Linked DNA regions of Rhinolophus ferrumequinum. The protein of the gene in region 1 binds, or shares a complex with, the protein of each later gene. Links are inferred from orthologs where the notes say so. Each region holds a gene or a part of one and is shown in the gene's direction. Other genes may lie near its edges.

Region 1 (16,841 bases):
CTTCAAAGAAATTTTGGGGAAGCCAGTTTGTTCAGTTGGTTAGAACGCTGTGCTCTTAACACTTGCCGGTTCGATCCCCACATGGGCCACTGTGAGCTGCGCCTTCCAAAACTAGATTGAAAGAACTACTTGACTTGGAGCTAATGGGTCCTGGAAAAACACACTTAAATTAGGAAAAAAAGTTAAAAAATTGCTTCATGGATCTCTTCCTTGGACTCGTATGTCCTTGGTCTGGCTGAGGATTCTGAAAGCTATTACCAGACTCTTGGGTACATTTCGCGCAGGTGCGCGCGCGTGTGTGTGTGTGTGTGTGTGTGTGTGTGTGAGTGAAAGTAAGTTTTGGTAGTTCTGAGGCAAGAAAAGCCCCATTCTGATAGTGTTACATACCTCTGCAAATAAACACCTAGGGAATATAAAAAGTATTTGCTTTGCTCTCAAAAATGTTTCAAATGATTTAAACTGAGTGTTATATTACGGAGAAATTAGTAAGGCCTGTAGGGGAAAGTTCTTTTTTAAAAAAAGGCCTGGTAAAACAGGGTATTAGAGAAAGGTCTAGCTTCAAGTTAGGGCAGGTGGTAGAGGGCACTGAGGAGGAAGCAAATGGTATACCAGGTGACAAACAGTATTATTTTAGAAACAACTATGTTGAGCAAACAGGAGAAAGGAAAGGTTGGCTCTATTTGGTTCAGCCACCTCAGAGTGGAAAAGGCGGAGTCAGAGCTGAACCTGTGCATGGACCCTGTGTCACAGGGGAGCAACCCTCAGAGGAGAAGCAGCTTCCCAAGGGAGGAGAGAGAAAGGAAGCAGGAAGCCTCAGAGAGAAGTACTGTCCAATTAGGGATGGCTCTGGAGAGAAACCTCTGGGGACAAAACCTTTGAGATAGCTCAGTAGGGCACTGTGCTTTTAAAGTTGCAAGAGACGAGAGATGGTGTAATAAAACTACTTGGGAGAGGAGAAAACTAAGGCACAGAGGAATCTGTTAAAGGTATATATTTTCTTTCTCTGGTAAAGATTCTGACAACAGTGAGTGTTGTTGGAATGCATTCTTTTAATTAATAAAGACATTGTACAATGTAAGAGTTTTATAGCACATTTGTCTTCATTCAATAGAGTTCTTAGTCATCTATGGCCTGGATGTGGAGCCACAGTGCTAATCATACACTGTAAAATATAGAGATCAAGATACCATTCACATACATAATTTTAGCATTGAATTAACTTTTTATAAGGCAATAGCAAGCCATTTTCCAGTCATCTTGATCAGTGCAAGTCTGCTCTTTCCTGATCCCCTTCCTCCAAAAAAAAGCCTTATGAGAGAATACATTATGGAATAAAATCCTCAATAGTTTTAAATTTTTGAACAGTTAAATTTTGAATACCTTTCATATTCATCAGAGACAACTCTTAGAATCTGAATAGATCAACTAATAGATTCAAAGACAGTATCCCATTCTGTCTTCTGGTATTTTTCATTGTCTTGAGTTTAGACCAATGCTAAAATCCTTGTAGATGGATTTAGTATTTGCAAAACAAGAAAGCATCAGTTATTTGACTAAAAAAAATATTTCATTATATAAATATCAGAAATAACATGTAGAGGATAAAAATATAAACATCTAACAAAAATAGTTGGTATATAGGTCAAGGTTCATTGAGGAGACAAATCACCTAGTAACTTGAACAGGAAAGGTTTAATACAAGGGATTGGGGTATTAAGGGATTGGCTAGTAAAAATTAAAGAGAACTCTACCGAATGTGGGAAGAGCAGAAATCAGGAGCAGCCAGTACGCCTAGAGCTGAGATAGAGCACCCAAGGAAAAAGCCTCCCACCCCTGAAGCTGAGATGCAGATGTCAGAAAAGGTGTAGCATAGCTCACTGGATGTTGAAGTGTCTTGCTTCTGGAATTTGCTGGAAAGCCACCAGAGGGATGACTGGGGAAGTCCTTCATGGGAAAATGCCCTGCCCAACAGCGTTCTGCTGTGAAGCTGCCTGAAGGGGCTCTGGGGAAAGCTGGTCACCAGGTGCCTCCGGCCAGTGCTCATGGCAGGAACCGGGCACTGGAGAAGCCGCTCACACTGCAGGGGCCTGGCACTGGGAAATCCACCCCATACTGTAGGAGTTTGACCCTAGAGAAATCACAGGCCTCTCTCTGAAGTTTACCAAAGATCGTTTTAACACAGCTTAGAGCTCTTTGTCAGATCAACCTGAATAAAATCTGCTGACAATGTATTAACACCTTCTGCATATTACACACTTCATGTATTTCAATGTCTTGAGAGATTTTAGGAAAAGTTTGGGTTGAATTTGTGATAAGTACATAGAAATCTAAGCAAATGAAAAAAACATGACAAAGTATTAATTCCAGACAAAACAAAAAGTTTTTTAGTATAGGTCAATTATAATGTATATAATCCAATAAAGCAACTAGAAGATTCTCCATGTTAAAATTTCAGTCAAGTAATCTATAACCATTTTAGTAAAAATAAAATATACTAGAGTTAGAACAAATTCCTAACATGAAGAAAACAAAATTTCCATATGAATGAACAACCTTGGAGTTCCAATTTAATTTAATTTAAACCAATTTAATTTCTGAAATTAAAAGCTCTATATGTTTCATAGTGTACCTGAATTTAAATATTTTGCTCTGTGTAGGAGAAATAGATTAAATTAATAATATGTACTGATTACATATGTAAGGAATAATATTACTGAAAAAGAAAAAAATCAAAATATTTTCTTATGTAATTTATTGGTTATTGAAGGAAACCACTAAAGCTATATAACGGCTCAGTTTTTCAGAGTATATCCTCTTGATATGTTTAACATAACTTGTAACACAGCTGTATCATTGTAAGATTCTTTCAGGAAATATAAAATATTTTAAAATATTTGAGGAAAATATTTTACAATGGAGACCAACCTTCCTTAATTTTAAAAATGTTTTAGATTTTCCTTATTTAAAAGCATTTAAGGGTCATAGAACAGATATAGATAACCTTTAAATGGATATTGCAAAGGGAAAGAAACCAGTGTGTAAAGACTACATGCTGTATGATTCCAATTATATGACATTCTGAAAAAGGCAAAATTAGAGAGACAGGGAAAAGAGAAGGGTTGAATATATGAAGCACATATTTTTTAAGGTAGTGAAATATTCTGTATGATCCCGTATAGTAGATACATGACATTGTACTGTTGTCAAAACCCACAAAACTTTATAGCGTGGAGTGAAACTTAATGCATGCAAATTTTAAAAAATCATTTGGGGGCCAGCCCGGTGGCTCAGGCGGTAGGAGCTCCGTGCTCCTAACTCTGAAGGCTGCCGGTTCGATTCCCACATGAGCCAGGCCAGTGGGCTCTCAACCACAAGGTTGCTGGTTCAACCCCTCGAGTCCCGCAAGGGATGGTGGGCTGTGCCCCCTGCAACTAGCACAAGCAACTGGACCTGGAGGTGAGCTGCACCTTCTGCAACTAAGACTGAAAGGACAACAACTTGAAGCTGAACGTCACCCTCCACAACTAAGATTGAAAGGACAACACCTTGACTTGGAAAAAAGTCCTGGTAGTACACACTGTTCCCCAATAAAGTCCTGTTCCCCTTCCCCAATAAAAATAAATAAATAAAATAAATCATTTGGGAGGTTGTGGTGTAAGGCCTAATATTAAAACTCCATATTATGTGTTATCTTGACATTGGAAAACTTGGTAGAGCCTAGGATGTCCTAACTGTAAATACCCCTCCCAACTCTGCTCGCATAGGTAAGTTTCTCTAGCTATACAACCCTCCTTACCAAACGGACCAGGCACAGTTATTGCTAACCCCTGAGTAGTGGGTTTCAGTTCACTGGCAGCTTGTAGAATTATCCAAACAGCTAATCACATTCTTTACAGGAACCAGGGGCCAGCCCACCCTCTTGATACTGCAAGGTTGTTCATTCTGATCCTGAGAGCAACCTCCATGTGGCCCTGAGTGATATGTACTGCCTTCTTCCCCTAGGCTGTGAGTTTGTGTGACCAATAGATGTTTGTGTGACAGAAGATTTGATATCATCTGTCCTGTGTTGGGTATTGTGTGTTTTGCCCTCATAACCCTACGGAGGGAATTCCTCCTTCACCAACAAGGTGAATAGGAGGCAGTTAAAACAGAGGTTGGGGGATCCTAGGATGGAATGCAGACTGTGACAATATAATCTATTTGAATTATACATGTATGAAACCACCTCACTGAAAATGGTGGAGGGAATACGTGCTTACCTAAGAAAATGGTGGAGTACAAGATTACCACTTGGAAATGAGTGGGGTCTGTAAGATAAAAGACAAGAGGATCTGTATCAAGCATTGGACTCAAGTTGATAAAATCGTTATCCATAGGGGTAAGGTTAAGAATTCTGTTACTTCCGCAAATACATACTCAAATTGAACAATTAAATAAATGAATGTTAGATAATGGAAGCTAGATTTCTTCCTGTTAGAGTGGGAGTTTACAAATAAGCTAAGGGAAGAGGCTAAAATAATCTATGTGTAATAGATTAGAGTTGGTTATATGGATCAGTATGAAGTCATATTTAAATTAGTATGGATGGGGCTACGAAATACCTGACCAATACACCTTAATAGTATCAAGGTCATCAAAACCAGGAATATCTGAATAATTATCAGAGCCAATCTAAGGAGACATGACAACTAAATATAATGTGGCTCCTGGATGGGATTCTGAAACAGAAAAATAACATTAGACAAAAACTAAAGAAATTGGAATAAAGTATGGACTTCAGTTAATGATAACAAATCAATATTGGCTCATTAATTGTTAAGAAATGTACCACATAATGTAAGATGTTGATAATGTGGGAAACCAAGTCTATGAGAACTCTGTACTATCTTCACATTTTTCCTATAAATCTAAAGCTGTTCTAAAAAATAGTCTTTTAAAAAACAAAAAGTATCTGGGAAACCTAAAGAGTAATAATTCCAGCAAAATAAATAAATGAGGAAATAAGGAACTTAGGGGAAGGAAAATACAATAAATACAGGGATGAGATTGGAATACTAAAACACATGCCTTTAGCAGGTTCATTTTTGTTAGAGGTAGGCTGTAAATTGGGGAGAGCCAAAGTAAGGCTGCTTTGCATGTCTGCTTTTCCAGCACCCTCAGTGGACTCCTGCACTGAGGACAGAGCAGCAGCAGCAGACTGGAGGGAGCTAAACTGGGCCAGTCTAGAAAGGGAGACCACACATCTCTGAAGCGCCAAAGCATAACTCGAATTTTCATTTATCCAAGGTCTGCTCGGAAGGATGTGGCTAAAAACAACTACTTTGATAAGTCACCTGGAGTGGGATAAGACCTCCCACCTCACAAAATGCATGTTTAGATGGCCGGTTACTGCTGTCCAAGAAGTCAGGGCTGGTCACCACAGTGTCTGTTCCCTGGTACACTGTTTCAGCAGTCCTCTTTCTTTCAACTTAAATGTTGAAAAAATTTTTCAAGAATATTGTTTTGATGGGGACCAACTTACTAGTCTGAATAGAGAGCCAAATTATTAGCCTGTTCAAGGTGTCGATGTTTATCAACCCCTTGTATTACCAATTTGAGTAAAAGCATGTTTAACAGCAACCAGAAACAGGGCAGTATAATTATCTCTCCCCCCACCCATGATCTCAATTGATCCAGGGGTACAATTTAGACTATCAGTCTACCCTTCCATCTATTTCCCTTAAAATAGAGCAACAAAGATCAATGTGCCTGATACTCAGTGAATCAACTGAGAGACAGCAGGGTTGACATTTTCTTATTACAAGGACCTTATCGGGACCAACCAACTACACCCACCTAGATAGAGATAGTCCAAGGGAGTCTGTGAACAGTGCTAAGATTTTCCCCAGAAAACAGTTCTGGGCTTATACCATTAAGGTTGAAGCTTAAAATTCGTCATCATGAAGGGGTTGCAAACGTTTTAACCTAAAAAAAAAATTCAAACCAAGAGTTAGGAATCATCTACCCTAGTTAACAATTATCCACAAACTAATTGTAATCACTGTAACTTCTTGGGGACATTCAAACATAAATTGACTACTTTTTTTTTCTGTGTCTTCCATAGGTTTATATTGCTTGCAGATCTTCTTAATTATTCATGTTCTCTAAGGAAGTGTTCTGTCCTTGGATCCCTTAACTCTACAAACCGGGGAGATCTCATCCTCAATCATTGCCCTACTTCATCGGCCATTTGTTTGGTGATGATACCCAATGTGTATCTCTAGACTGACGGTTTTTTGGAGTATATTCCTGGATATCCTTACCTGAATGTCTCTTAGATGCCCTAACGTTATGAATGGATTCATTATTTCTATTGAACCCCTCTATTTCCCATCCTTCCAACAATCTCTCCAGAATCCTAGGAGGTAATTAAGATTTCTTCCTTTCTCTCTCTGTCCACATCAATCTCTGTACCTCGCTAATTCCACTTCTAAATACTCCTAGAGTTTTTCCTTTTCATACGTGGTGCTTGCCTCCTCATTTCTTCACTCGATGATTGCAAGTCTCCTGTTTTACCACCACTTTGGTCTTGCTCTTCTCCAGTATATCTTCCATACAAAGTGAGTTTAAAAATATATTTTTTTAAAGTTAATTTTTTTTGACTCTGTAATATATTCATAAGGTTTGAAAACAAAAAGTTGCAAAAGGATACACAGGAAAGTCTGCCCCTTGTGCTGGACTTAGTCACCCAGGTTCCCTTGCTAAAGGCACCAATAGCCATCAGTTTCTTTGGTAAAGAATGTATTTCTAAAATGCATTGACTTCACATCCTCCCATGGCTCATCACTGTAAGATAATGACCAAATTGAGAAGCGCACATGAGGCCTTTCAGGATTTAGTTCTGTTTACCTCTCCTTTCTTCTAAGGAGTCGCTGTGTACATCCAGATTTCATCCCCTGTAACCACTTGCTCTTCTCCACAAAGCCTAAGACTTCCTTCCCTGTGATTTTGCATATGTTGGTCCCCTTACTTGGGATGCTTCCTCCAAGTTCCCCGATACCCCATACCACGTTTTTCCTTGAGTACAAAGCACCATGTCTAAATACTCCCTTAAATGGATTCAAGTTCAAACTTTTGTGGACCTCCACTGATAAAGGTTATGCCCTCCTCTCATAATGCCCTTTTAGGACCATACATATATATTTTTATTATAGCACCTATGATATTGCTTTGCCTTGTTGGAGGCAGATACTGTGAACCTTTGCTTTTTGAGTCCTCAGAGTCGAGCAAACTGCCTAATGCCTACCTGGTTGTTGTTCAATAAATATTAGTTACAATGTAATGACAACTAAGCTAAGGAAATATTAGGCTGCATTAAAAGCAGTGTAGTTCTCAGAATTTTTAGTTCTGGACACCATGTTTAGAGATAGGCATTGAGGAAGTGTAATATCCACTTGACAGTGCAGGGTCTACTAACACTGTGACAGTCTTAAGAAAAGACTAAGGACTCACATCTCCCTTAGAATCTCTGAAGGGCTACAGAGCAAGCAGCTGACAAGTAACTAATGCTCCTCCGAGACCGGAGGTTCTCCACCAGCGATGGGTCCACCTGGTTGGTAGTCTTCATCAGCACTGTGATGTACTGCAACTTATTTGTGCTAATAAAAGCTGAAGTACTGAAGTATGAAAACTACTTTTTCCCCTCCTCTTAAACTCGAGTAGATTCAAGGCTACTTCTATAATGTCACTCCTGCCCACTTACATTCCAATATACTTTGCTTCGATAGTGGCAAAGCTGCAACTGATGGGTCCTGAAACTGGGTGTAAGCCAGTCTACCTTATCTTTGCTTTTACCCTGGAAAATGTTGAACATGTGAATATTATCTATCCTTGGGGAGGGGAGGGGGAACTGCCATCCCAGATTATGAGCTCCTCCAGGGTAAGGAACATGACTTTTCATTTTCTATCTGTCCACAGTGTCTGGAGGTTAACAGATGCTGGGAGAAAAGAAGGAAATGAAGGTCTAGACAATGGATCAATGGGAGAATTAAAGGAAGAGAGAGTGGAAGAAAATGTGACAACAATTTTTAAAAAAGAATGAAGGAAAGAGATAAAGCAAAGGATTAAAGGCAGCTCATTACTTTCTTAGAAACTGTTAACCGGATTCAGTTTTGAACACAACATAAGAAAAAAGAAACAGCAATAAAAGTTGCTTAAACAGACTATGGGAGATTGGATAAGATGGCTTCTAAGTTCCTATTCAATTCTTTGATCTATGATTTTAGGTTTTGTTTCCCCCAACAATGCTTTTGAGTAAATAGTGGTATTTAATGAATATTTATTAAATAGAATTATAATCTAAAATAATACAAAAGCAGAAACAAACTGATGTTTCTGCTAAAATATAGTCTATATTACTTTCTTAATTGGGTCTTCAAAGTTTCATAAAGATATTGGCAGTGGGTTTTCAAAATTCAACTTCAATTTGCTCCCTGGTAAGATGCTCTGTGGCTTAATTGGCACCCTATAGAGCTGAGATACCTTTTTTTTTTTCCCTTTTAGGTTAAAAGAAATAACAGAAACTTGCTGGGCTAAATTCTAGACATGATGCAAATTTAAAGTTAATTTAAGATGCTATTTCTGGTGGGAAAACTTAAAAGTTTTTTCCTCTAAGAGAATCCAGAGATCTCTTTCTGCTTTGTAGCTATCCAAAGAGCCTGAGCTGCAGAAACTCTCAAGGCAAATGGGTAAAGGTGAAGAAACCAGAAAGCAAAAATTACAACAGTAACCACTGCCTGCCCACCCCTCCCCCGCCCCAAATCTCACATCAAAGATTTCTTAACATTTTTGCCCTTCAAAATATGTGCTGTTCATAGTAGAGTAGGAACTGATGATCTACCCAAGGAGAGTTGTAACTGTTCTCTGCTTATTTTATGTAATTCTAAACTCAAATGCTTTTGCTTCTCCTGCAGCACCTTGCTTGGATCAAAGCAGTTAAAACATGGTACTTTGATGTCATAAACAGAAAGTATATAAAAATCAGGAGAGTTGGGTAACTTTCACTAGAAAAAAAGGTGATATTTTTAGTCTTTTACTTTTTATACTATTTTCATGATGAGTTCAACTCTGCCTGACACTAGCCCAAATGCTATGACACTGCAAAATTGAGATCCTATAAACTGTTGTTGTTGTTTTTTTTGGGGGGGGCACTTGATTTTTGTCCATGTTAGGGGATTATAATTGACTAACAAACTCACTTAAAAATTCTATTACAAATAAGTATACTTTCTCAACTTCCCCTCTGATATGGCGTGATCCCATTTGTATTGATAATAGACTAAATCTTACTCATTTCTAGTACAATAAATATTTGTCAACTGATCTGGTTGATGCAACAGTAATCCTTGTTTTCAGTTCAGTTCAACTCTGTATTTTACTGATAATCTAAAATAGTAATTCCTATACATCTCAGGCCCCGAACACAAATACGTATCCCTAACCTGTTCCTTCCGACAGAGTTTGCTTTGGGGAGGAAATTTCAGGAAAGCGTCCAGCAGGAAGAGAGACCGGCAACGTTACTTGAGCTGTCCAGGTGCCCAATAGTAACAACTTCTGGTTCACAGTAAAAATAAAAAGAGACGCTGGAGACCGGGAGGGAGGGAAGACAGGAGGCGATGGAAACTATCAAAGATGCAAGTGACAACTCCCAAAGGTTTCTAGATCCCACCGCGAAGGGAAAACCAAAAGGTTTGACGACAGTGGCAGTGCGGTATCTCCAACCAGGTTCCAATTCGCGCTGCACGAGTAACAAGCCGTCCATCTGCCCTACCCAAGCGGGCTTCCCCGTGCCCATCTTCCCGCTTGGAATCACAAGGAGAGCGGCTCCCCCACCCAGAGTAACACTTAGACGCAGAGAGGAAAGGAGCCAGGGGGCTGCCGCGCAGGTGGGCGGGCGCCCCAGGCCGAAGGGATGCAGGGCGAGGAAGGGGACACCGGTGCCCCTCCTAGCGACCCCCTCCCGCCCCGCCAGGGGGAGCGTCTGCGCCCGACGGCGGGCGGCGGGGCCTCCGCGGGCTGCGCAGGGCGGCGGCTCCGCGGCGCGGCTGCCCTCCCGCGTCCCCACCCCCTCCCCGCCCGGCCGCCCGCCCGCCCCCGGCGCGGCCCTGCCCGCCCCCTCCGCCCCCCTCCCGCGGCGCCATGCGCAGACTCAGTTCCTGGAGAAAGATGGCGACAACCGAGAAGCAGAAACACGACGGGCGGGTGAAGATCGGCCACTACATCCTGGGGGACACGCTGGGAGTCGGCACCTTCGGCAAAGTGAAGGGTGAGGACCCCCGGGGCAAGCCACGGCCCAATCCCAGGACCCAGGCGACTTCCGCTTTTCACACCTCTTCATCCTCCCCCGGCCCCTGCGTTCCTCGTCTCGGGCTCCGCAGCCCCGGTCCTCCCGCCGGCGGGAGCGGAGCCCAACGCGGCCGCCGGGCTGCGGCGCGGCCCTCCCGGGCCGGGTGGGGGTGGGGTGGGGACCGGTCACCATGGCGACGGCGGCGCCAGGGGCTGGTCCGTGCGAGGGGCGGGGATGCGGAGGTGCGAACTTTCTCAGGTGGGCGGTCGGGGGCTGCGCGGCGCGCTCCGAGTGCTGGGTGGGGGCGTCGGGGTCTCCTCCCAGAGCCCCGGGGAACAGAGGCTGTTCTCCCTCCGCTCAGGACCAGCCCATCGGTTCCCTGGCATTCTTTAGCATTGTCCTTATTTCTGTCCTCTTTAGAAAGGCTGTCTACTCACCTGTTCAGGCTGATTCTCCAGTGTGAAATCTGTTAGCACCAAAGTCTCGGGGTAGCTTAGAGAATCATTTAAAAAAAAAGAAAAAAAAAGCCATCTTGTCGGAAAGGATAACTAATTTTTTTCGGAGCAGTTAATGAACATAAACTGGTCCAATACTTGTGATGCATGGTTTATATTCAGAATGCAGACTCCGTGCCTTTAGTGTGTCTGAATTACCAGTTTTGCAGTCTGTATGCCAAACCCGGTAGTTAGTGCAGATGTTGCCTCCAGATAGTATATTAGTTCATTAATGCAGCTCCTTTCCATGTGTTTTCACGGGGTATTTATATTTTAATGAACAATTTAGTGCACATCGTTTGATTTTTTTTTTTTTTTTTAAGAAAAGTGTGGACTCTCTTACCCTTGTGTTTCAACACGGTATTTGAAAATAGCAAACTTGCTCCAATCTACCAATTGTGGCACAGGTTTAATTGCAAACTTTGTGACGCATAATTTTTTTAGGTATTTGACTTTTTTATTAGGGATGATGCAAAGGAAGGAAATACGGAGCTGATAATAATTCATGGAAAGGCTTTGAATAAATAATAGTGTGTGACTTGACTATACTAAGCGCTAGGTAAATACTTAAAAGAAAAAAAAGTTTGTGAAAATCTGTACAGTGAATTAAATTAGTCTTGCTCTACCAGAGCTAAATAAACATTTTCTGATTTTATCTAGGGATGGAAGAGGAGAACCCTTCCTTCTCTTGTCCTTTCTGAGTCATAGAACTGGAAAATTGCTGTATAGCTCACAGGAAGCAACTGCCTAAACCTTGTGAAAAATCAGCAAGGCCTACAATGTAAGAAAGTAAGAAGCAAATGCCAGAATAGGGTAATCACAACCATTAGGGTGGGTCTGTATTAGGTCAGGAAGATGTTTCTGTGTCCTTGAAGTTACTTATTTTGGCTGTGCTGTCTCTATTTTTATGTTAGCGTTTCCAAACTTTTCTTTTAATTTACAAGTAGGTACTGTGTTTCCCCCAAAATAAGACCTAGCTGGACAAGCAGCTCTAATGCATCTTTTGGAGTTAAAATTAATATAAGACCCGGTATTATATTATATTATATTATGTTATATAATAAAGATATATAATGTATTTATATATTATAAAGATAAAACATATTATATAAAGGTATAACACTATAATATATATTATAAAGGTCTTTAATGTAATGTAATACTGGGTCTTACATTAATTTTTGCTCCAAAAGACGCATTAGAGCTGATTGTCCAGCTAGATCTTACTTTTGGGGAAACACGGTATTTGTAAGAAATGCTCATTAATGCCCGCAACATAGTGATGACAATCTTGATGTCCACCCCTCCCAGAGTTCTGCTTGGATTAGGATGCTCATCATTCTCCTAATACAGATCTGAGCAGAGTCAGGTCTCATTTTCTTTTTTGCTAGGTGGCTTTTGGCATGGCAGATAGGAAAGCAAGAGGAAATTTTTTTGTTTTCTGGATTTGATCTGTGATGTGGCTTTGACATGAATCCCTCCAGTGACCGCTGTTCCTTAACCTTCACTCCTCCACATGTGCCTCTGTTGAAGTGTCCCACACACTGTCAAAGTCAGCAACCTCTCCAAATGTAGCAAGGACAACAGTAGTCAAAGGATCATAGGTTTCGTAGGTATGGTTCAATTTGTTCATAAATACATTAGTTGATGTCGGTCAAAATCCTCAACCAGTGCATTTTTTAAGTTGTTAAATAGGTAGGATGCTTTTTGCCCCACGTAATAGAAAATCCAACTCAACCTAGCCAAGAAAATCTCTTCCCTTGGTTCTCTCCAGAGCAAGGAAGTCCCAGCGTACCTCTCATGAGTCTTGTTGGTTTATCCAGTCCCTCTGGCCTGGGATGCCTTGTGCCAATGGCTTAGGCCTGTGTTCCTAAGTAGGCCCTAGCAAGGGAGATGGAATTACCCTTGGGGGAATATGGCCCACTCTTGGATATATGTGTGTGTGTGTTGGGGGGAGGGCATTTAAAAAAAATTATTTTTCAGTTGCAGTTGACATTCAGTATTATTAAGGGCATCTTCTTCTGAGGTACTTGGATGGTGTGAGGGGACAGGATAGATACCTACACAGAAATGGGTATTAATTATTAGGAGAGAGACGGGTACATAGATGCTCAGTGAGCAGACAAAATTAGCTAGTTTACTGGTGACATTGGTATCTTACACTGGCCTTAATTTGGTAAGAATTTTTATGACTAATATGATTAGCCATATATTTCAATGGAGACAATTTGGAGTAGATAGAGCTTTTAAAACTAAATATATTGGTGAATTAATCATAGAAAAGAAATCTAGATGTGATAATGCAATACAGAAAAATTCCCAATGTAATAGTCCACGCTTAGAGGAAATTTAATTTTTGGGAAGGAGTGGACTGTAAATTCATAGTGATTATTTTTTTCCTGTTACAGGCTTAAAAAATCCTTTGGTAACAATAACATTTTGAGGGGAAAGTTTAAACAGACAAGTAGGGTTAATTTGGAATTATGCTTGAATTCTCCTGTTTTACTTCTAAGGTATTGTTTTTTTCTGGTTGTCAAGGTGTTAGTCTCTACTCTCGTGCTGGGCCATTCCCCTTTCCTCCCAGGTAGAACAGTTACAAAAGCATGAATGAACAAAGTCCTGTGACTACTGCAGTAAATTAAAATGGCACTTTTGGTTAATTTTCCAAGAGAAGAGAAGGCTGTCTTTTTAGTAGGGTGGGTGGTCTTTGGCAAAGAAGTTGTTTATACATAGAACCTATTAAGTTGGTGAGTATTTCTACATAAAACTGCAATTTCAGGTAAATAGGTGACTGTTCTTTTTGTGAATGAATCACAGTGGAAGTTATTTGCACATTTCTTTAATTAAAAACATCTGTATATGCACTAGAGCTATATATATATCAGCATGAGTGAATCTCAAGTATGTAAGGTTAGGCCACAAAAGCATAAGTACAAGAATATGTACAGTCATGTTATTCATATATATTTAAAAAACATGCAAAAACACTCATACATTGCTGGTGGGAGTATAAATTGGTACTGCCTCGATAGTGTGAAAGTATTTATTAAAATTAACCCAGTTAATTCAACTTCTAGGAATTTACTCATGGAATTTATTGGGCTCACACAATAAAGCCCAGGAAACTGATTGATATAGTGCAGACCATACCCATGTATCCGAAGGGTTCTTTTTTGCCTGAGTAGCAGGTAACAATGTGGGAGATGATTCGAATCTGGGTAAAATGAGAATATAGATTTCGGGGTGGCCAAAGAATCAGAACAGATGTTGGTACAGGATAGTGTCTCCTCCTCCTGAGGGGGTCAGAGAAGGTAGTAATTTAGGTTGCTGTCGGTCAGTAGTATGGTAATTCCGGCGGCCAGGATGGGAAGGGATAGCAGAAGGAGTACAACTATAATTAGGACAGACCGTGCGAAGATTGGTGTTTGGTATTGAGATAGGGCGGGGGGGGGGGGGGGGTTTATGTTAATGATTGTAGTAATAAAATTGATGGCCCCTAAAATGGAGGATACCCCTGTCAGGTGGAGGGAGAAGATACATTCATGCTTGTGAAACAATGAGTTATTCGTTGCCATATTGTTTATACATGCAAACGATTGGAAGTAACCTTTCTAATAGGACAATAGTTACGTTATGGTTTATTAATACCGTGATATACTTTGGAAACTAAGGAAAAAAAGCAAGATACTTTATATATTTAGAGAGTAATTTCCAAGGTGTATTTTAAAGAGGAAAAATAAGGGGGTAGTAGAATAGTGTGTGTAGTATACTTACTGTATATATAAAAAGCAGGGCAAATATGTATCTAGTTGTAATTGCTTGCAACTGCATGGAGTGTCTTTTTAAAGATACACGTGAAACTGTTACACTAGTTGTTCAGGAGAGAACCAGGTAGCAGGTATATTTCACTGTATATCCTTTTGTACTTTTGAATTGTGTATTGCAAGTATTATGTGTTCAAAAGAATACAGAAAATTAAATTAGAAACATAAATATATGAAAAACAATGTTACTGTATTGTTTATGGATTCATTTGTGGGAAAGACAAACACCACATTCAAGATAGTGGTTATCTCTGGGGAGAGAAGAGGGAGAAAGATCTGGGAAGAGTCCTGCTGAGCTTCAGTTATATTTATACTGTTTTGTTGCTTAAGCTAGTGGTGGGTGAGACATGGGTACTTGGTTTGCCTTTTGGGATGCCTGAAATGTTTTGTTAAGAAAAGGTAGCATGCTCAAATTTCCACCTATAGCTTTTAAAGTTTAACTCCTCTCCAGGATTGTGTTTTCCATAATACTTTTATAAGTGAGATTTGTATTCTTTTAATTTTAGAATGGGAATGAAATCATTAGGTTATTTTAATATCTTCAGTAGATATTTTTGTCTTTGTGACATCTCTTTACTATTTAAAATCCTCTCTTTCAAAGTATGATCTTGTTTCACTTCAGGATTACATATCTGATTAGAAAAGCATCTGTTACAATGTTTTACAGTTTGAAAAAGTTCCCTTTAGAGAGCAAGAACAGGTTGTTACTACCGTGTTCCCTCCTCCCCCCGTATTATATTATATTATACTTTATTATATTAATTATATAAGATCTGGTCTTATAGTAAAATAAGACCAGGTCTTATATTAATTTTTGCTCCAAAAGACACATTAGAGCTGATGGTCTAGCTAGGTTTTATTTTCGGGTAAACACGGTAGCTAATATTTAGTTGACTAATCTGCTGTGATGAATTCTGGTAGCTTTTCCTATGAATGATATACAGATCTTACATGGCAGAAGTATCTGTCTTCTATTTCGTTCAAAAGTAGCACCTTAGCACTGCTGTCACAGTCACAGTGTGCAGAATACAATTTTGAGTTTTGGAAAAGGGGGAATTCTCTTAGTAATGCATATTCCTGACAAAGTCCATTTACGACATCGATTGACTGTGGAACAGCAATTAATTTGGCTGCAGCTGAGTTTAGTCAATGGAGAATCTTGAGTGTAGTTTTGAGGAAAGAGTTCAGGTGTTGCTGTTGTGCCAAGCCCTTTTTCCCCTCTCGTGCACAGTGATGGTCGGGTATAGTGGATAGGTCAGAAGACTCGGAGTCAGAAAACCTGTCCCAACGGAATCACTTAATAGCTTTACCTCCACAAATTGCATCATCTCTCTTTGTCTCATATTACCTGCATCATAGGTTTATTGTGAGGCTCAAATGTGATAATGTGTGTTTCCTGAGCTATAAGACACTGTATTTTCAAAAGTATTATGCTACTGGAATTCTAATATTGAAATATTTTAGTAATTGGGATCAAGGCAAATATTTCTGTTCCTATAAGTAAGGAAAACATAACAGATTATCATCATATGATGGCCTTAAATTACCAAGATTGCTGGGAAGAAAGAGGGAGGAAAAGAATAGTCAGAGGGATACTGCCTGTACTGAAAGAAAATATTGTAGTCATCAATGTTGGGACATTTGAAAACCTTGGAAGGAAAAACCTGTATCCAATTAAGCCTGGGAAATACCAGGTTAAACAAATTTTAACAGGATTCTCTACTATGGGGCTTTTCAGAGCCTTTACTGTGTTAATATGCATAGTGAGAGTTTCCAAAAAAGAGAACGTATGTCCTTTCCCAGGACGTAAGTCCTTTCCCAGGACAAAAAGATGATGAAATCTTTTTCTGTGGAGTTTCCAGTACTAGTGTTTGGTAGAGCATACTTTAGAAAATCTATTATAATTTTAGTTTTATGACTTTTCTAGCCCATAGAAAATTAGAATCCCCAAATTAGAACACTGAAGAGGGGGCTGTAAGAGTTGACTCCTGATAGTCTGTGAATGATGAGGCACAACTTCAGAGAGCAGAACACCACACGCTGGAACATAGTAATAGTCTAGGAGCGAGAAGTCCTATGCAGGTAAGTAACTCCTATGGATGTCACTGGGTGAGGGCACAGGGGAGTAACTAATGCTCACACACGCTGAACACCTGCTTGGTTCTGGCGTCATGTACAGTGTGTTCCATTGAAGAATAC
Region 2 (15,875 bases), on another chromosome or scaffold:
ATATGCCCATCCCCGAAACAACTTCTGTAGCAAGAAGAATGGGGTTATCCAGTCAGGACCTGGAGTTGTTCAGTAAATATTAGCTCTTATTAATTTTATTATTATGAAAATAAGATTTTTTTTTGTACCCAGGCAAAGTATAAGTAGAATGATCAATAATGAAAAGTTGGTCCACCTTGCTCATAAATCAACACATGCATAGCAAAACAATGAGATACCATTTTTACTAGTCAGGCTTCCAAAAAAATTTTAGAAATGTAATAATGCTCAGTATTGACAAGGGTGTGATAAACAGTCGTCCCAAACATAGTTGCTGCAATATTTTTGGGGATAACTTTGATAATTTCTAGCAAAATTTTAAAGGTATGTACTCTTAGATCTAGTGATTCTATTGTTAGGAATTATTCCCACTATTTTGCTCACAAAACTACACTAGGAAATGTGGCTTAGTCAGGTTGCTATACAATGGTAGTGTTATTAGTGAAAGTCCAAGCTGAGAAACAAAACTTCCATCAAGAAAGACTGTTGAAGGGGCAGCCAGATGGCTAAGTTGGTTAGAGTGTGAGCTCTGAACAACCGGGTTGCCAGTTCGATTCCCACATGGGCCAGTGAGCTGCGCCCTCCACAACTAGATTAAAGGACAACAACTTGGAGCTGATGGGCCCTGGAGAAACACAAGAAAGAAAAGAAGGAAGAAACACAAGAAAGAAAAGAAGGAAGGAAAGAAGGAAGGAAGGAAGGAAGGAAGGAGGGAAGGAAGGTTGTTGAACTCTGGCTTCCAGTAACGGAGTAATTATAATGGACTGAGTCTGATGCCTATACAGCTACAAACTCAGGATACAACCTTTTTAAATATGGACGGCCTTGAAAACAACCAACAGCATGCAAAAACTGGAAAGGAAGTTCTTTCAAATGACCCTTGAAAAAAGGGAATCACCCACTGTCTTTTCTTTGAAGGGTCTGCATAGCACACAGAGAATAAAACTCAAGCAGAAAGCAACAGTCTTATTGGGCGGAAAAATCATAGGTTGTGGTTTGGAGCTCCCAGGGTGGCTGGAAATTGAGAGGAGAAATTCCAGAAAAGATAGAGACACAGAGCAGGGGCCCAAAAATCGGAATTTAAACTCCCCTCAAATCCTTGGCTGACTCCTAAAGTGTACATGTGCAGCCCAGCAGGGGGATAAAAAAAGCTAGAAAGTTTAAAGAAGTGAGCAGAGATTTCAGCAGCTGCTCATTGCTAGGGAGGCAGAGTTTGGAGTTCAAGTTCCACCAAATGAGAGGAGCTTGGTAGCCCCGGAGGTGAAAAACCAAAATTGACCCACACAAATGAAGCCTAAAATTATGCTTCCATATAAAGATGAGTCACTAGCAATTAAACTGCCAGGTAAAACAAAACCCAACACTTTTCTGAGTAAGATAACAGAACCCAGAGTCTCTGCAATACATTATCCACAATGTCCAGTACAAAATTTAAAAATCACTAAACAGGTAAAGCAGCAGGAGGGCATTATTGTCAAGAGAAAAAAAGTTAATAGAAACAGACCCAAAGATAATGCAGATGTTAAAATAAGTGGGCAAGTGCTTTAAAACAACTGATAAATATGTTAAAGAATCTAGAAGAAAAGATTAATATAGTGAGTGAAGAGATGGAGAATTTCAGGAGACATATGGAAACTAAGAAAAACTGGCAATCTTAGAACTGAGAATTATCAATTCTGAAATTATTTGTACGGAATTAACAGCATTTGCACAGTACAGAACAAAGGATCAGGAACTTAAAGATAAATCAATAAAAATTATTCAAACTGAAGGAGAGCAAGAAACCGATTTAAAAACAAAATAGAGCTTCAGTGATTTGTAGAACAATATCAAGCATTTGCCATATATGTAATTGGATTCCTAAATAATAGAAGAGAGAAAGGCAAAGGGGGGAGGTGAGAGGGGGAAAGGAGAGAGAGAATTTTAAAAATTCTTAAAGAAATATCAACTACATTTTTTCCACATTTTATTAAAAATATCAGCCCACATATTTAAGAAGCTCAAAAAACCCTGATCCAGATAAATTCATAGGAAAATACACTTATGCAAACTGCTGGAAAGCAACGACAAAGAAAAAATATATAAAAAGCAGCCAGAGGGAAAAAAGATACATTACATACATGGAAACAATAGTAAAAATAATTGACTTCTCATCAGAAACAATGGAATACAGAATACAGTGGAATGACAATTTTAAAATACTGAAAGGAAAAAGAACTGTCAAGCTCCAGTGGAAAATATCCTTCAAAAATGAAAGTGAAATAAAGACATTTTCAGCTAAACAAAAACTTAGAGAGTTGGTTGCCAGCAGATCTGCAGTACAAGAAATGCTAAAGGAAGTCCTTTGGGATGAAGGGAAATGAAACCAAATGGAAATTAGTGTTTATGAACAAAAATAAAAAGTACTGGAAATGTTAAATGTGTGAATAAATAAAAAGACAATAATCCTCATCAACATCTCAACAGGACTATTTGCAGAAACTGATAAGCTGAGTCTAAAATTTATATGCAATGGCAAAAGACCCAGAAGAACGGAATCAATTTTGAAAAAGAAGAGCAAAGTTGTAGGACTCATACTTCCTGATTTCAAGACTTACAATAAAGCTACAGTTACCGATAAAGTGTGATATTGGTGATAAGATAGACACAGCGATGAATAGAACAAAAGAGTTGAAAAACAGACCTGCACATCTATGGTCAATCGATTTTTAACAAAAGTGCAAAAGGAATTCAATGGGGGAAAGAATAGAGTGTTTTCAACAGATGGTGCTAGGAACAACTGAGCATCCATATTCCAAAAAATAAACCCCAATCCACACCTCACACCACACATCTAAACTGACTCAAACGGATCATAGATCTCAATGTAAAATCCACAATGATAAAACTTCTGAAGAAAATATAGGAGGACGTGGAGAAACTGGAACCATTGTGCACTGTGGGCGGGAATATAAACTGGGGCAGCCATGATGAAAACAGTACAGCAGTTCCTCAAAAAATTAAAAAACAGAATTACCATCTGATCCATCAATTCCCCTCCTGGATATATACCAAAAAGAACTGAAAGCAGAGCTCTGAGATATTTGTACACCTACGTGCATCACGGCATTATCCACAATAGACAAAAGGTGGAAGCAGCCCAAGAGTCCAACCATGGATGAACGGATAAACAAAATGCGTATACACACACAATGGAGAATTATTCACGCTTAAAAAGGAAGGACATTCTGACACTGCTCTAACGTGGGTGAGCCTTGATGGCTTTATGCTAAGTGAAATACGCCAGTCACAAAATGACAAATACTGTCATTCCACCTAGATGAGGTACCTGGAATAGTCAAACTCATAGAGACAGAAAGTAGGATAATAGTTGTCAAGGACTTCCGGGAAAGGGCAATGGGGAGGTATCGTGTAACAGGCACAGAGTTTCAGTTTTGCAAGATGAACTGTTCTGGAGATGGATGGATGGTGCTGTCGGTTGCACAACTATGTGAATGGACGTGATGCCACTGAACGGCACACCTAAAAATGCTTAAAATGATACATTTTATGTTATGTACATGTATTAATCATGTTTTTTATTTTCTATATTTCATGATGCTTTGACATCTTGGGGCCTCAGTGACCAGGGAGAGATCGCCCCTCCCAAGGTTAATCCACCTCTACCGATAGTAAATGACTTGCCTGGAATGTGCAAGCCAACCAATCCAGAGCCCATACTCTGAACCACCTCCTCTCTCTGGCTTTTACCCTCCAGGAGGCCTCTGTCCTTATCATCCCAGGGCCAGGTACCAGAGCACTAGGGACCACCCCGTACAGCCCAGAGCCCACCAAAATTATTCAGACTATCCAATCCCAAACGTGCTCAGCTGCTTGCCTTTCCTCGCCCATTCTTTTGCTCAGAAACCACAATGAGGGCTTTTTGCACATGCTGTCCCCTCACTCTGCCTGCAACCAACCTCAGGGTTCTCTCTTGTGGCCCTGAGAGGACTGGCATAACCCCCTCCTCCCGGGAACTGACAGGAATAAACTATCTTTTCAACAGCAGTCGTCTCCTGATCCATTGGCCTTACCACACGTGAACAAAATCAAAATCCCGGCTATATTTTACAGCAGCATATTTTAGCACAGTTTTTAAAAGATAAATACTTTTTTGAGAGTATTGAGAATATAGAGACTAAGTCACATTTGATACATGTATGCTACAGAAGTTTAGCATGGTAGTTAAAAGAGTGGAGACTCAGGAGTCAAGTCCCCTGCATTTAAATGCTGGTCCACCACATACTAGCTTTGCAATGTTGAGCAAGTTACTTACCCACGTGCCTTAGTTTCCTCATATATAAAGTGGGGATAATAATAGAATGCACCTCGTTGGGCTTTGTGAGGATTAAATGGGTTAAAACAAGAAAAGTGCTTAGGACAGTTCCAAGAATATAGTAAGCACTCTATAAATGTCAACTATTACTGTTATGGAGTCTGCAGCCATTTAAAAAAAAAGGAAGGAGATCTGTATGTGTTGACATGGAAATATATATTGAGGGGGAAAAAGTCCCAACTGTGTCCATTTTTTTTTGTCCATTTTTTAAATGAGAGAGATATAAGCAAACATTTTTTCTGGGAAAAGTTACATAATTATAACAAACGGGGCCCCCCAAAAGTATACTAGAAACTCTCAGGTTATTTTGGGGGAAAGGAAATAGGGATCTAGAATAAGGTGTTTTTTATACTTTTGTTTTTTATTCAACACCTCCTGTGCTACTTGAAGTTTTTACCATGTTTATTCATACCTAAAAATGTAGACATATAAGTTCTTGGAAGATCGTGGGAATATTTTTCATTGCTCTTTATTGCCACCTAGGGGATGATGGGGGCATTGCCTGCCACGATCACTATCATTGCTGTTAACCTTATTCGCTATTTAATATGTTATCCCACCTACTTGATTTAGTATCTTACACCAAGCAATTCATGACCTCCACCTTTCAGATGTCAGTGCGTTTTGTAAAAATTAGAAACATGGATCCATAGTTATAAAAGTCATAGATGTTACAACACAACAAAAAAACACATCACCTAGTTTGACTTCTTTGCTGAGTGACCATTCCAGCTTTATATTTATAATCTTAATCAGCCTGACCCATTGGCTTGCCCCAAATAATTTCACCCTTCACTCAATGTTCTATCCATAATGCCCACATTTCTGCATTAGTCTGGCTGCCTGCGTTTGAATACTGGTTCCCATGAATTCCTAGCTGTGTGACCTTGAACAAGTCACTTCACCTCTCTGAGCTTCAGTCTCCTCATCTATAAAATACAAGTGATAATAATAATAGATCCCTCACAGGACTCTTGGGGGATTACAAGTTGATATACCAAGCACAATGCCACACACATAATAGGGCTTGATAAACAAATTTCACTGTTAACACCTGCAGTCTTCAAATCTCAAATTAATTGTCATTTCCTCCCGGAAGCCTTCCCTCACTTCCTGACTAAGTCACATACCTCTCACTAGGTCATATTTCTCCTTCCTAGTATTTGTCACACATGACTGTTAGATGATTATACGACTAACGTATCTAACTATTGCTTCCCTACTAGATCATAAACACTACGAGCATGGAATGTGGGTCTAGTTTTGCCCATCATTGTATCCCCAGGTCTACCACAATGCCTGGCAGCTAGTAGTTGCACCATACATAATTACGGATAAAGAAACGAATTAATGAAGTTAGAAAACTGGAGGCCTCTAAAAATTAAATGTTAACTAGAACAAGTGTCATGACCCAGTTAGATTCTGATGGTTGGGGTGGAGGGGTCGTCTTGTTAGACAGTGTGCATAAAATGAATTGGAAAAGGATAAACTGTACACCTCTACCATCTGTCCTAGGACCAGCCCCGGGATGGTTTGTTTTACTTAATCGAGGCCAGGGCCACTGCTAGTGCCTATGGTGTATTTGTCCAAATTAGGAAAAGGCACCCGTTCCTCCAGGCAGGTGGAATCTCAGAAACTACTTGCCTCCTTGGGGAGGCGTTCCTATGCGGGGTACACCTGCACAGCCCCAGTTACTGGGCTGTCTCATTGGTTGAAAAAACACAGAAAGCATCCATGGGATATCAGTTATCTTATCCAAGCCAGAGCAGAAGTCTTGAAACTTTCTTCATGCATGAAAGCATCTGCATAGCTCAGATTAGGGGTGTACAGCTCATGTGTTCTTCCTTATCTCTCAAGTTGTGTGGGAGAGACCCCAAAACTCATCATTTTCATGTCCTGACTATTATGAGCAAGAAAAACAGCTCAAAGAATGCATCCTGGGTTACCCGTTGGCCTAGCCTGAGTCCCTTCTGGGCTCCCATAGAACCCCTGGCCTACCTGTATTATTGCCTTTCTGCGAGTCTATTTCCACCTCTACTCTATGGATCCTTCTCAGGCTGGAAACCATGTCTTATTTGGTCTTCTAATATTTGTTTTTAAATTACAAAAGCAGTATATCCTTAAGATAGAAAAGTTTTCAAATAAACTGAAGAGTGAAAGTTCCCTTTCTATCTGCTCCTTTTCCAATCCGCTTCTCTTCCCAGAGGGGACCACTATTAACAGCGTGTTGTACATCTTTCCAGAACTTCCAATTTGCCAACCATAATGAGGCCAATAAAAGTGCTAATGTTTATTGAATGTTTACTAAGTCGGGTGCTATGCTAGGCACTTTTTGTGCATGTTCTCAATTAATTCATAAAACAAGCCTATAAGGTTGGTGATATTTTTATTCCCCATTTCACAAGAGAGGAAACCAAGATGATGGTTACTAAGTGATAAAGCCAGAATTTGAACGGAGGCAGGCTGACTCTTAACCTCCACTTGCTTTTGGGATTTGGAATGTCATAGGCACTTCTCCATTATTACCCATGTAATCCTCTTTTCTTTTCCCCTCCCCTTTTTGTGATATTCTGTCTGCTTTATTTTTTTATTTCTTCCTTTTCAAAGCTTACTCAGTATTCCATAAAATGGAGTATTTAATTCATTAAGCCATTCTCCTGCTGACAAACTTTTTAGGATTTAGCAGCTTTTCACTTCCTTAATTCATCAAACCTAAGATTCCACTGATTGTCAGAAGCACCCAGTTTCAGAGAGATTAAAATGTGCATCTCAGAATTAATGTATTATGGCACTAGACACAATGCTACAAATGAACGCGCTTGCATATAATTTTCATGTGTTTCTGTAGAAGTTTCCTATAAATAAAATTGTGCACCAAAATAAAGGTGCATTTTTCATTTTCATAGATGCTGCCGAATTCCCCTCTAGGAGGTCACATCTTAGTCATTTGTGTCTCCCATTTACTTAGCACAATGTCTGGCACTTTGTAGGTACAAAATAAATGTTTGTTCAGCGGACAAAATGCATGACCAGGCCCAGCAAACGCAACGCATTTTGAGATACTCACAGGCAAAAACAAAACAAAACAAACAAAAAACCCCCACACAAGGAAACCATGACAGTGATAAGAGTAGAATATTTTAGTACCACATGTTTACACACTTGCTGAAGCACTGGCTACAGTAAATGACAAGCGCTAATAAATAAATGCATTTTATGCAGAATGATGTGTTCAGAGTGATTACAAAACATCTTGCAAAATTACCTCTAAAATGGCTGTGCACTCACTTTTTAAAAAATACACTAATAACTCCAACATTTTACAGCCCCCAAGCGAGACACGGGAAACTTCCAGGAATCTTATGGTCTGTCATTTTACACTCGAGGTGATTCTAAGGCACTCAACGGTGTGAGAACTAGCGCATTACAGGGCTTTAACGAAAGGAGTCTCTTAATTAGATTTGCCCTTTACAACGAGCCCTTTGGCTGTACAGCCTAGAACCTACTGGAAGTGGGAAAGACATCTAAGATCCCTAAATACCGTAGCATCACTCACCCCTGCGCGGGGAGGGCGGCCCAGACGGTCGGCGCGCTGGTGCGCCCCCTGCCGGCCTTCAGCAGCCTCGTTCTGGGTCGGCTAGGTCTGCCAACTGCGACTGCGCACTCCGAGGCCCAAGGAGGCCGCCTCACGGCGCCGGCGACCGCGCCAATCCTGACCGGAAACGGAAATAAGGGAGACTTAGCCTCATGCGCTTCGCCGGCCCAAACTATCCCGTGGGCCCCGCCCCTTTTCGGAAGTGCCGGAAGCGGAAGTTGCTAAGAGGTGGGGGGAGTTGTCGGGGAGACTGTCGGGTTATGTTCGCGCTCCAGGAGCTCGCGCCTCCGCTACCCGAGCAGGTAAAGGCACGATGGTGAAACCTTGCCAGTGGTGCTGATCCGGCTCAAACCGGATCCCGGCCAGGAACCCTAACCCAAGCGGTGCGGTACCCGGTGCTCCGATTCTTTCCTTAGGGTCCTTGTGACTCCCTGATTCCGGAAGTCCCCTGTACTTTGCCTGGAGTGAAGTCCGGCTTCCTGGTGTCCCGGTAGACCCCCCGCCATGGGCAACACGAGCAGCGAGCGCGCCGCGCTGGAGCGCCAAGGCGGCCATAAGACCCCCCGAAGGGACAGCTCGGGGGGCGCCAAGGATGGGGACAGGCCCAAGATCCTGATGGACAGCCCTGAGGACGCCGACCTCTTCCACTCGGAGGAAATCAAGGTGAGGAGAGGTGGGGGAATCCGATTCCCGCCACAACCCCTCTGAAACTCATCATCAGAAGTGGGAGGGAGGCGATACTTCACCCTCTGCGCTTAGAAGCCAGATGGCTCTGTGAGATCCCTCGTAGCCCGGGAGCCAGTGTCTAATTACCGATATGAGAAAATCACCCTGAGGGAGGAGGAACTGCGTGTAACATCATTAAGGAGAGGGCGGCTCTGGGACAGTTTCAAATTCTTAATTAAGATCGCGGAGCTAGCAGTAATAGCCCCGGTCTCTGCTTTTCTCTCTCGGGTATTCTAATTTGACAACTTTGAGAAACCGTCCCTCACCTTTAGGAAGACTGGCAGTTTTTGTAATAGTTGTTTTTGCAGTTTATTGTCAATGTTGGAGATAAACCAGAGCACCCACCAGAGGTGTTTAGTTCTGCCCAATATTTTTGGTTCGCCCTGCTTATTTAGAGCGGGCACAGAAAAGTCATTGGACTTCTGGGGGTCAGCGGGTAAGTGAAGTGTCAGTCTGAAGGAGGCGGCCCCTTGGCAATTCATCTTCTCTCCCCTGTTGTTTCAATGACTTAATATTGTAAACACACCAAAGCAAACATTTTTTGCTTGGCCAAATTTGAGCCTCCTGCGGCAGTCTGCGTTAACTTATCAAAAACTCTGAAGATGATTCTAGACTCCTGCTTCAGCCACTTTCCTGTTAACCACCTGATGTGGTCTGTTTCCAACTGGGAAGCCTGGTCCAAGGACACTTAATGATTCTGGCAGCTGATGTGTAATGTGGTGTAGCCTAAAAAGCAAAAAAAAATTCCTTAAGGACAATGCAACAAAGTAGGTTCAGGGAAAATGAAGGTGCATACCCACCCCTCCCACTCAGCCCAACACTTTCTCTGTTAGTATTCAGTTGTACACTAATCATCATTGTCCATTAATTAGGCTTATTGCCTGGCAAATCATTCCAACTTGACTCACACTTTTTCTTAGACGTTGGGCTGGGCGATCACATTATTTTCTTACATCCTCATTCGGCTCTTGGCTCTAATATAAAGAGTCTGCTTCTACTTGGCCTTCCATCCTGTGATTGAACTTCTTTCTGAACCTGTTGCATTCCTGAGGAGCTGTGTGCAATTGAAATCCTGTTTCTCCAACGACTTGACATCCCTTCCCTGAGAAATCATTTTGGCCCAAGGATGGCTGTTTAAAACATCATAAAAATGAAACTGTTTTCTTCAAGAAATATTTGTTGTTCTGTTGCTGTTCCAAAACTCCTCTAAGAAATGTTTAGCATACAGAAAATCTGTGGAGAATGAGTTTCAATAGTCCGTTATCATTTCCTCAGAAGTTTCTGAAATGGTGTAGCAGAGACACTGCATAGAATGCCCCAGATAGCCAAAAAAAAAAAAAAAGTCATGGATTCTTTTAACTACACTAGTTTACCATTTTGGCTGTGGTTAGTTAGCACATCCTCGGTGGAAAGTGATTCTGGTCTGTTATTCTTAAATCTGTAGGTCTTTTTTAAGCTCAAAGAATGCAGGCATTTTTTAAGATATGCTCAGGTCAGTATTTGGAGTAAAGGTGCTCGAAGGCTGCTAGGCACCTTCAAGGGTCTTTCCCATCCTGGAATTCCTGCTGTTTTAAAGTCTTTGCCTTCTGATTCGGAAAAATGTAAAAGATCCAAAGCCACATATATTTCACCCCGAGTTGAACGTGTTTATTTCTCTTATTCTGGAACACCTCAGTTACACATCACTTCCTACCCTAGAAGTTCCTTTTTAACCATAATGAAGGTCAATCTTTGTCTTAGTCTTTTTCTCCAGCGTGTGGACGACACTCAGTGAATAGTTTTTCCCTTCCTTAGAATCTGGATTTGCCAATTTTCAAGCTGACACCTCTGGAATTACCCCTCATAAATTTTCATGTACTTCAAATCTTGCCTAATAAAGGGAAGAAAATGACCTTTATTAAGCTAGTTTTGAATTCATTGCAGCCTTCTTCCAAGTGAGTTTTATAGTTTCTCCTAGAATCTTAAGGTAGCCCTCTTTTAGTAACAAGAGTAGCTAATAATTTGTAACACACTTACTATGTGTCTGATACTATGCAGAGCATTTTGTGGACTTTCTCAATCTTCACAATAATCTTAAATAGTTTCTGTTATCTCCATTTTGCAAGTGGGGAAACTGAGGCACAGCTGGTCAGTGAACAAGCCTGAATATGATCCTGTGCAGTAACCACTGCCTCTTTAAAATGAATTGTCAGTGTTGGGGTAACTGTGTAAGGAGCTCACTAACGACTTCCTGTCCCCGAGTAAACTGCTCTATTTCTAGGCTCCAGAGAAGGAAGAATTCCTGGCGTGGCAGCATGATCTGGAAGTGAATGATAAAGCTCCTGCCCAGGCGCGGCCAACTGTATTTCGATGGACGGGGGGCGGAAAGGAAGTGTACTTATCTGGGACCTTTAACAACTGGAGTAAGCTTCCCCTCACAAGAAGGTAATTGGCCCGGGGAGTATACATGTCTTAACCCAGAGATAATTCTGTTTCTAAATGATCTCTGCACGTGGATGGAAAGGGATGTTTTTATAAAATGAATGCTGAATGGAAAAATAATCTTGCCGAATAATTCATAGGGTTCAGATCCCACACCCATAGTACTCTCTAGGTTTAGAGCACACTTAGAGAAAACATCTCTTGGTTACAAGTATTTCTGTTTCACAGACATCTTCTGCTTCAGATAGTCTGCTGTGTGTTTGTTCAGGCAGGACTTGTTCTTCAGAGAGAGAGAAATCTATTCCTAGTATAGTGGAGAGAGCACCAGGCTGGGATCTTCGAGGCCGGGATTTGAGTCCACATTGGCAGAGCTAAGCTGAGCCTCAGTGTTCCTATCTGTAAGAGGGAATATTGGGCCAGGTGATCTCTGAGGTTCCTTCTGACTTTGAAAGGTACATGTTACGTAGGCAACGTTAGCAGGACTACACAGTAAAACAACTTAGTGGGAAGCCTAGCATGGACTTCTGTCTGAAATTGTCAGTGAAGGAGCATCTTCACTAGTGAGCACTTTGAGGAAACGGAGAAATCGTTCCCTGCTGGGCCAGGCTTGATCATTGTCAGGGGCCTGCCTGCTTTTCTAGCGCTAACGTTAGTGTGGAGGGAGCTGCTGGGTACAGTTACAAGTCACTTCAAGTCAGGGCAACAAAACAGTCAAATGGAAGAGGTTTTCTGGAACCTCTTTAGTAGTTCTGCCAGCTTCTTTGGAGAACTATTTAATGTGCATCCATTAAATTGATCCCCTCTCCTGCCCAAGGCAAACTGACAGGGTAAAACTTGGCAGCAGGCCGTTGATCTTGTGTTGCTGGCCTCCTTGGCATCCAGTCTGCCAGGTGGTGGTTCGCTTGCAAGTTGACAAGGACAAGTAGCTGTTTGTTGACCTTTCGATGTGGATTGACCTAGGCTTGTGGGTTCCTGGTAGTGAAGCAAAGTAAGTTTTCAAGAAAATCTCTTGCATTGCTGCAGCTTTGTACGTCTTCTAGATTGAGATCATTTTATTGAGATGTCTGAATTGGTTAAAAATGTTTATTCTCCTGCAGCTGAACTCTGGGTTTTACGTGGAATAGTTTTGTTCTATGGCTGGTTCTGTAAGTAAGCTAAGGGGGCAGCCTGCCCCGCTGAAAACCTCCGCTTCCTTTTTCCTCGCAGCCACAATAACTTTGTAGCCATTCTGGATCTGCCGGAAGGAGAGCATCAGTACAAGTTCTTCGTGGACGGTCAGTGGACACACGACCCTTCTGAGGTACTCTTCCTCCCGCCCTCGGTCTGTATAAGCCAAACAAGTCACCGTCCCGTACAGATCTTCGCCAGGTCCCTTTGTCCTGCTGGGAAAAGTCCCTGTGTGGCTGAGCTAGACAGCAGCGCTGATTGTCAGACCCCTGGCATACTTGCCCGAGAGGGGCAGGTTGGCTAGCCAGGAGCTGAGCCCCTCCAGCCCGGAATTATAAGTCCTCCAAAGAAAAACCCAGAGGCCTTCCACGTTATGACGTCTGCCTGTCTGTCTCTTCCCAGCCAATAGTAACCAGCCAGCTTGGCACAGTTAACAACATCATTCAAGTGAAGAAAACTGACTTTGAAGTATTTGATGCTTTAATGGTGGATTCCCAAAAGTGCTCCGATGTGTCTGGTATGAACAGTTATTTTATACCACGTGTGTGCAGGTGGGGGCTGCGCAGTCTAGACATACTCTTGTTTCTCTCACCTCTCACTCTTGAGCTCAAGCTGCCCAATCGGGTGGACGTCTGTAGCTCCCTAAAGTGCCACAAAACTGATTCCTAACTGTGTCAGGTCAGGTCGTTGAAATCTAGCCCTGAGGGGGTAGTGAGTCCTTTTGGGGGGGGTGAAGGGGGCATCTCCAGTATTCAGAGAGCAGACCATTGAAACGGAACCAGAGCTTGGTCTCGGGCCGGGTCAGGGCCCAAGAGGCCCGGGAGTGGCCGTGGGTCAGTGGTGAGCCAGTGCTGGGAGGCCTGCCAGCTCCCTGCCTGCTCACAACCCACTCGGGGTACTCGGCCTGACGGGTGATAAACAGACACCTGTGACCTTGGCCGTCACTTGTGTGGTACATTAGCACCTTGTTGGGAGAAAGGCTCACCACGGAAAAAGGCTACATAGCACAGCCGGCTCAGTGCAGGCCTCCTTAAACTTCCTCCTCTTTTAAGAGTCATCCAATCACATACCTTCCAGTAAATTGCTTTCCATCCAAACCCACAGGAAGAAACTGCCTGGAAACATGATACGTACAGTTCAGGGGCAGGGATGTGTTGTAATCTGAAGTGTCAACAGCAGTTGCACTGCAGGGTTTAAACAGTTCTTGCGGGGGTTAAGCAATTCCTGGACCCCTATAGGAGGCAGGGCAAAGCTTGCCCAGGACTGCCTGCCAGTCTAAGGAAATGGACTCAGTTGAGTTTACAGGATGATTCTTCAGTGTCACCTGGCTAGCCCTGGAGGTTCTGCCAGCAGCATCCCTTACTCTTCTCAGCTCAGAAATCAGTGGGAAATCGACCTTGGTGGGCTTGCTGTGGCTGACGAGTCAGGTGGTTGAGTAGGAATGCCAAAAACCACGTTCTTCTGTCTGGCTAGTTGCCTAATTTTTTAAAGAAATCATTTCTTTCTTTTTCAGATAGGTGGGCATTGAATAGAAGAAAGGCCCAAATATCCTCTACTTACCGATAAATATAATTTGAGGCCATATACCAAAGCTTTTAGTCACATTTCTGCAGCATAGATCACCTGGGAAAAGAAAACTGACCCCTCACTGCTGGCAAACCAATTTCAGGCTCTCTGTAGACTTCTGAAAAGACACTTTCTTAAAATGTATATTTACTCCTAATGGCTCAGTTTTCTGCACTTCATGCTTTTCTCAGTTTCCTGCTGTGATACGGTTGGGTCATGTGAAGGGAGCCGGTTCTCTAGAAAATGATGTGGAAGGAACTGGCAGAGCCGGGCTGTGTCAGATTTATTCCAGACAGCCCAAGGATCAGGCGCCCAGCCCCATCCTAGGTGTCCTTGGACTAACAGCTCGGTCCCTTCCCGCTGGCCAAATATCACTGAGTGAGCTGCTGCTTAAAGTTAAGAAACACTGGACTTCTAGAAGCTTCTTTGTCTGTATAATTGAGATACTCAAGCAAGAGTTGGAAAGGAACCGGAGAGTGATGGAGTCTTTAGAGGTCAGGTTTTCAGTTTTGTTTCGTTTTGAAATGGGCTGGTGCGGTGCCTCGTATAACCTGTTTTGGCCACTGCCTGTGTATAAACAGGCTGCTTTATCTTCTGTTTTATTCTGGCTGGTGGCGCTCACAATTTGGGATTACCCCCTTAAGCCTCACTCGAAGCCTGAGCTTTGCAGTTTTTCCAGCTCGGCTTGAAGCGAGAAGTAGTTTTATTCTGCGGCGGCATATCAAGTTAGGCTACTGGGAACCTCTTCCTCCTTAGTCTGCCGTCTGCCCCACACTCACTGGCTTTGCCACAGCTGCCATCTTCCATCACAGCACCTGAGTTCACTGCTGAATTTTTATGCCAGTCACCCAAATACCAGAAGGGTTTTCTCATGGCCTCTGCTCTTCACGCTTGAGGCCTGTATATCCTTCAAGAGAACGTAAGTTTGTATTGAGGCAACAAGAGACAGGGAGCCCTAGACAGTGCCATCAATTAAATGAGACTGCTTCTAGAACTGATTGTCCAAGTAAATGTGCTGTCACCATCTCCCAGGAGAGCTGTCCAGTTCCCCGCCAGGACCCTACCATCAGGAGCCCTACATCTCAAAACCAGAAGAACGGTTCAAAGCGCCACCCATCCTGCCCCCGCATCTGCTCCAGGTCATCCTGAACAAGGACACGGGGATTTCTGTGAGTACACAGGTGTCCGCCCATTCCGTCCTCCGTGGTCATGTGCGGCTGCTCCTCTCTCCATCCACCTCTCACGAAGCAGCCGGTGAAAACGCTCAGTGTCACTCATCAGTATTGGCTGCCAGAGTCCACCTCTGATGCGGGTACAGGCCACACTCGCAAGCTGTTCCCAAGTGTGGGGGCTGCCTCCCCAGTCCACAAAGCCTTTCTGACCTTTTCTCCGTGCCTTTCACTCCTGCCTCAGCCTAGGCCCCATTCCTTTTCAATTTCATGACAAGATATCCAACCACCCCTGCTCGGTAAGCTACATAATAGAATTCCTTGTCTCGCCCCCAATTTTTAGAATCTTGTTTTAATCACCAAATCGCTTTCAGAAACATCACTGCCCTTAGATCAAAATTTGGGGTATCTGGGTAACGCACACTTCCTCTGAGGTCGGTATTACCTGCAGAAAGAAGCGCGGATCCTCCTGGATCCCGAAGAACGCCTCATTCCTCCCTTGTGATTTTTCCACTCAGTTTAACCTGAATTGCCAAGCACCCCAGCTCTGGAACGCACGGCCTAAATCTTGAGAGTCTAGAGGTCCTTCAGCTTTGTCCAAGCCACCACCCAAAAGGCACAGGGTTATAAGGTGGGAATCACACGGCGCTGTGGCTCGGGCCCCACACAGAAGTGGGTGCACGGACCGAGATGAGCTGCGTGCATACGCGTGCAGGCGACCCCTGCAGTGGCCGTGGTATGTTAGCCAGGCAGCCACCGCTCTCGGGGCAGGTTTCCCCATATGGAGAGTGTCCAGGTGCACGCCTGACAGCTGAGC

The links.
Region 2: the proteins of PRKAA1 (region 1) and PRKAB1 are in contact, whole or in part, in a crystal structure (PDB 6C9H), measured with the Homo sapiens proteins. The link is inferred for Rhinolophus ferrumequinum from reciprocal best matches to the Homo sapiens genes PRKAA1 and PRKAB1. Residues at the interface, in NP_006242.5 of Homo sapiens: Gly20, Val22, Lys23, Ile24, Thr32, Lys40, Lys42, Asn59, Arg60, Ile63, Arg64, Val69, Ile72, Arg73, Ile76, Gln77, Val93, Ser95, Thr96, Pro97, Ser98, Asp99, Ile100, Phe101, Met145, Met175, Ser176, Asp177, Gly178, Glu179; in NP_006244.2 of Homo sapiens: Pro79, Val81, Arg83, Leu103, Pro104, Thr106, Val113, Ile115, Asp159, Phe160, Glu161, Val162, Phe163, Ala165, Leu166, Met167, Val168, Asp169, Ser170, Gln171, Arg201, Ala202, Pro203, Pro204, Ile205, Leu206, Pro207, Pro208, His209, Leu210.

The regions. Positions count from the first base shown.
Region 1 is NC_046290.1:27,135,823-27,152,663, reverse strand, and holds the start of PRKAA1 (5'-AMP-activated protein kinase catalytic subunit alpha-1), read left to right. Parts: upstream 1-10,176; coding exon 10,177-10,303; intron 10,304-11,478; exon of another isoform or gene 11,479-11,599; intron 11,600-16,841. UniProt on the Homo sapiens protein: Catalytic subunit of AMP-activated protein kinase (AMPK), an energy sensor protein kinase that plays a key role in regulating cellular energy metabolism.
Region 2 is NC_046308.1:12,607,183-12,623,057, forward strand, and holds the start of PRKAB1 (5'-AMP-activated protein kinase subunit beta-1), read left to right. Parts: upstream 1-8,201; 5' UTR 8,202-8,311; intron 8,312-8,425; 5' UTR 8,426-8,513; coding exon 8,514-8,672; intron 8,673-10,995; coding exon 10,996-11,159; intron 11,160-12,362; coding exon 12,363-12,456; intron 12,457-12,725; coding exon 12,726-12,840; intron 12,841-14,921; coding exon 14,922-15,058; intron 15,059-15,875. UniProt on the Homo sapiens protein: Non-catalytic subunit of AMP-activated protein kinase (AMPK), an energy sensor protein kinase that plays a key role in regulating cellular energy metabolism.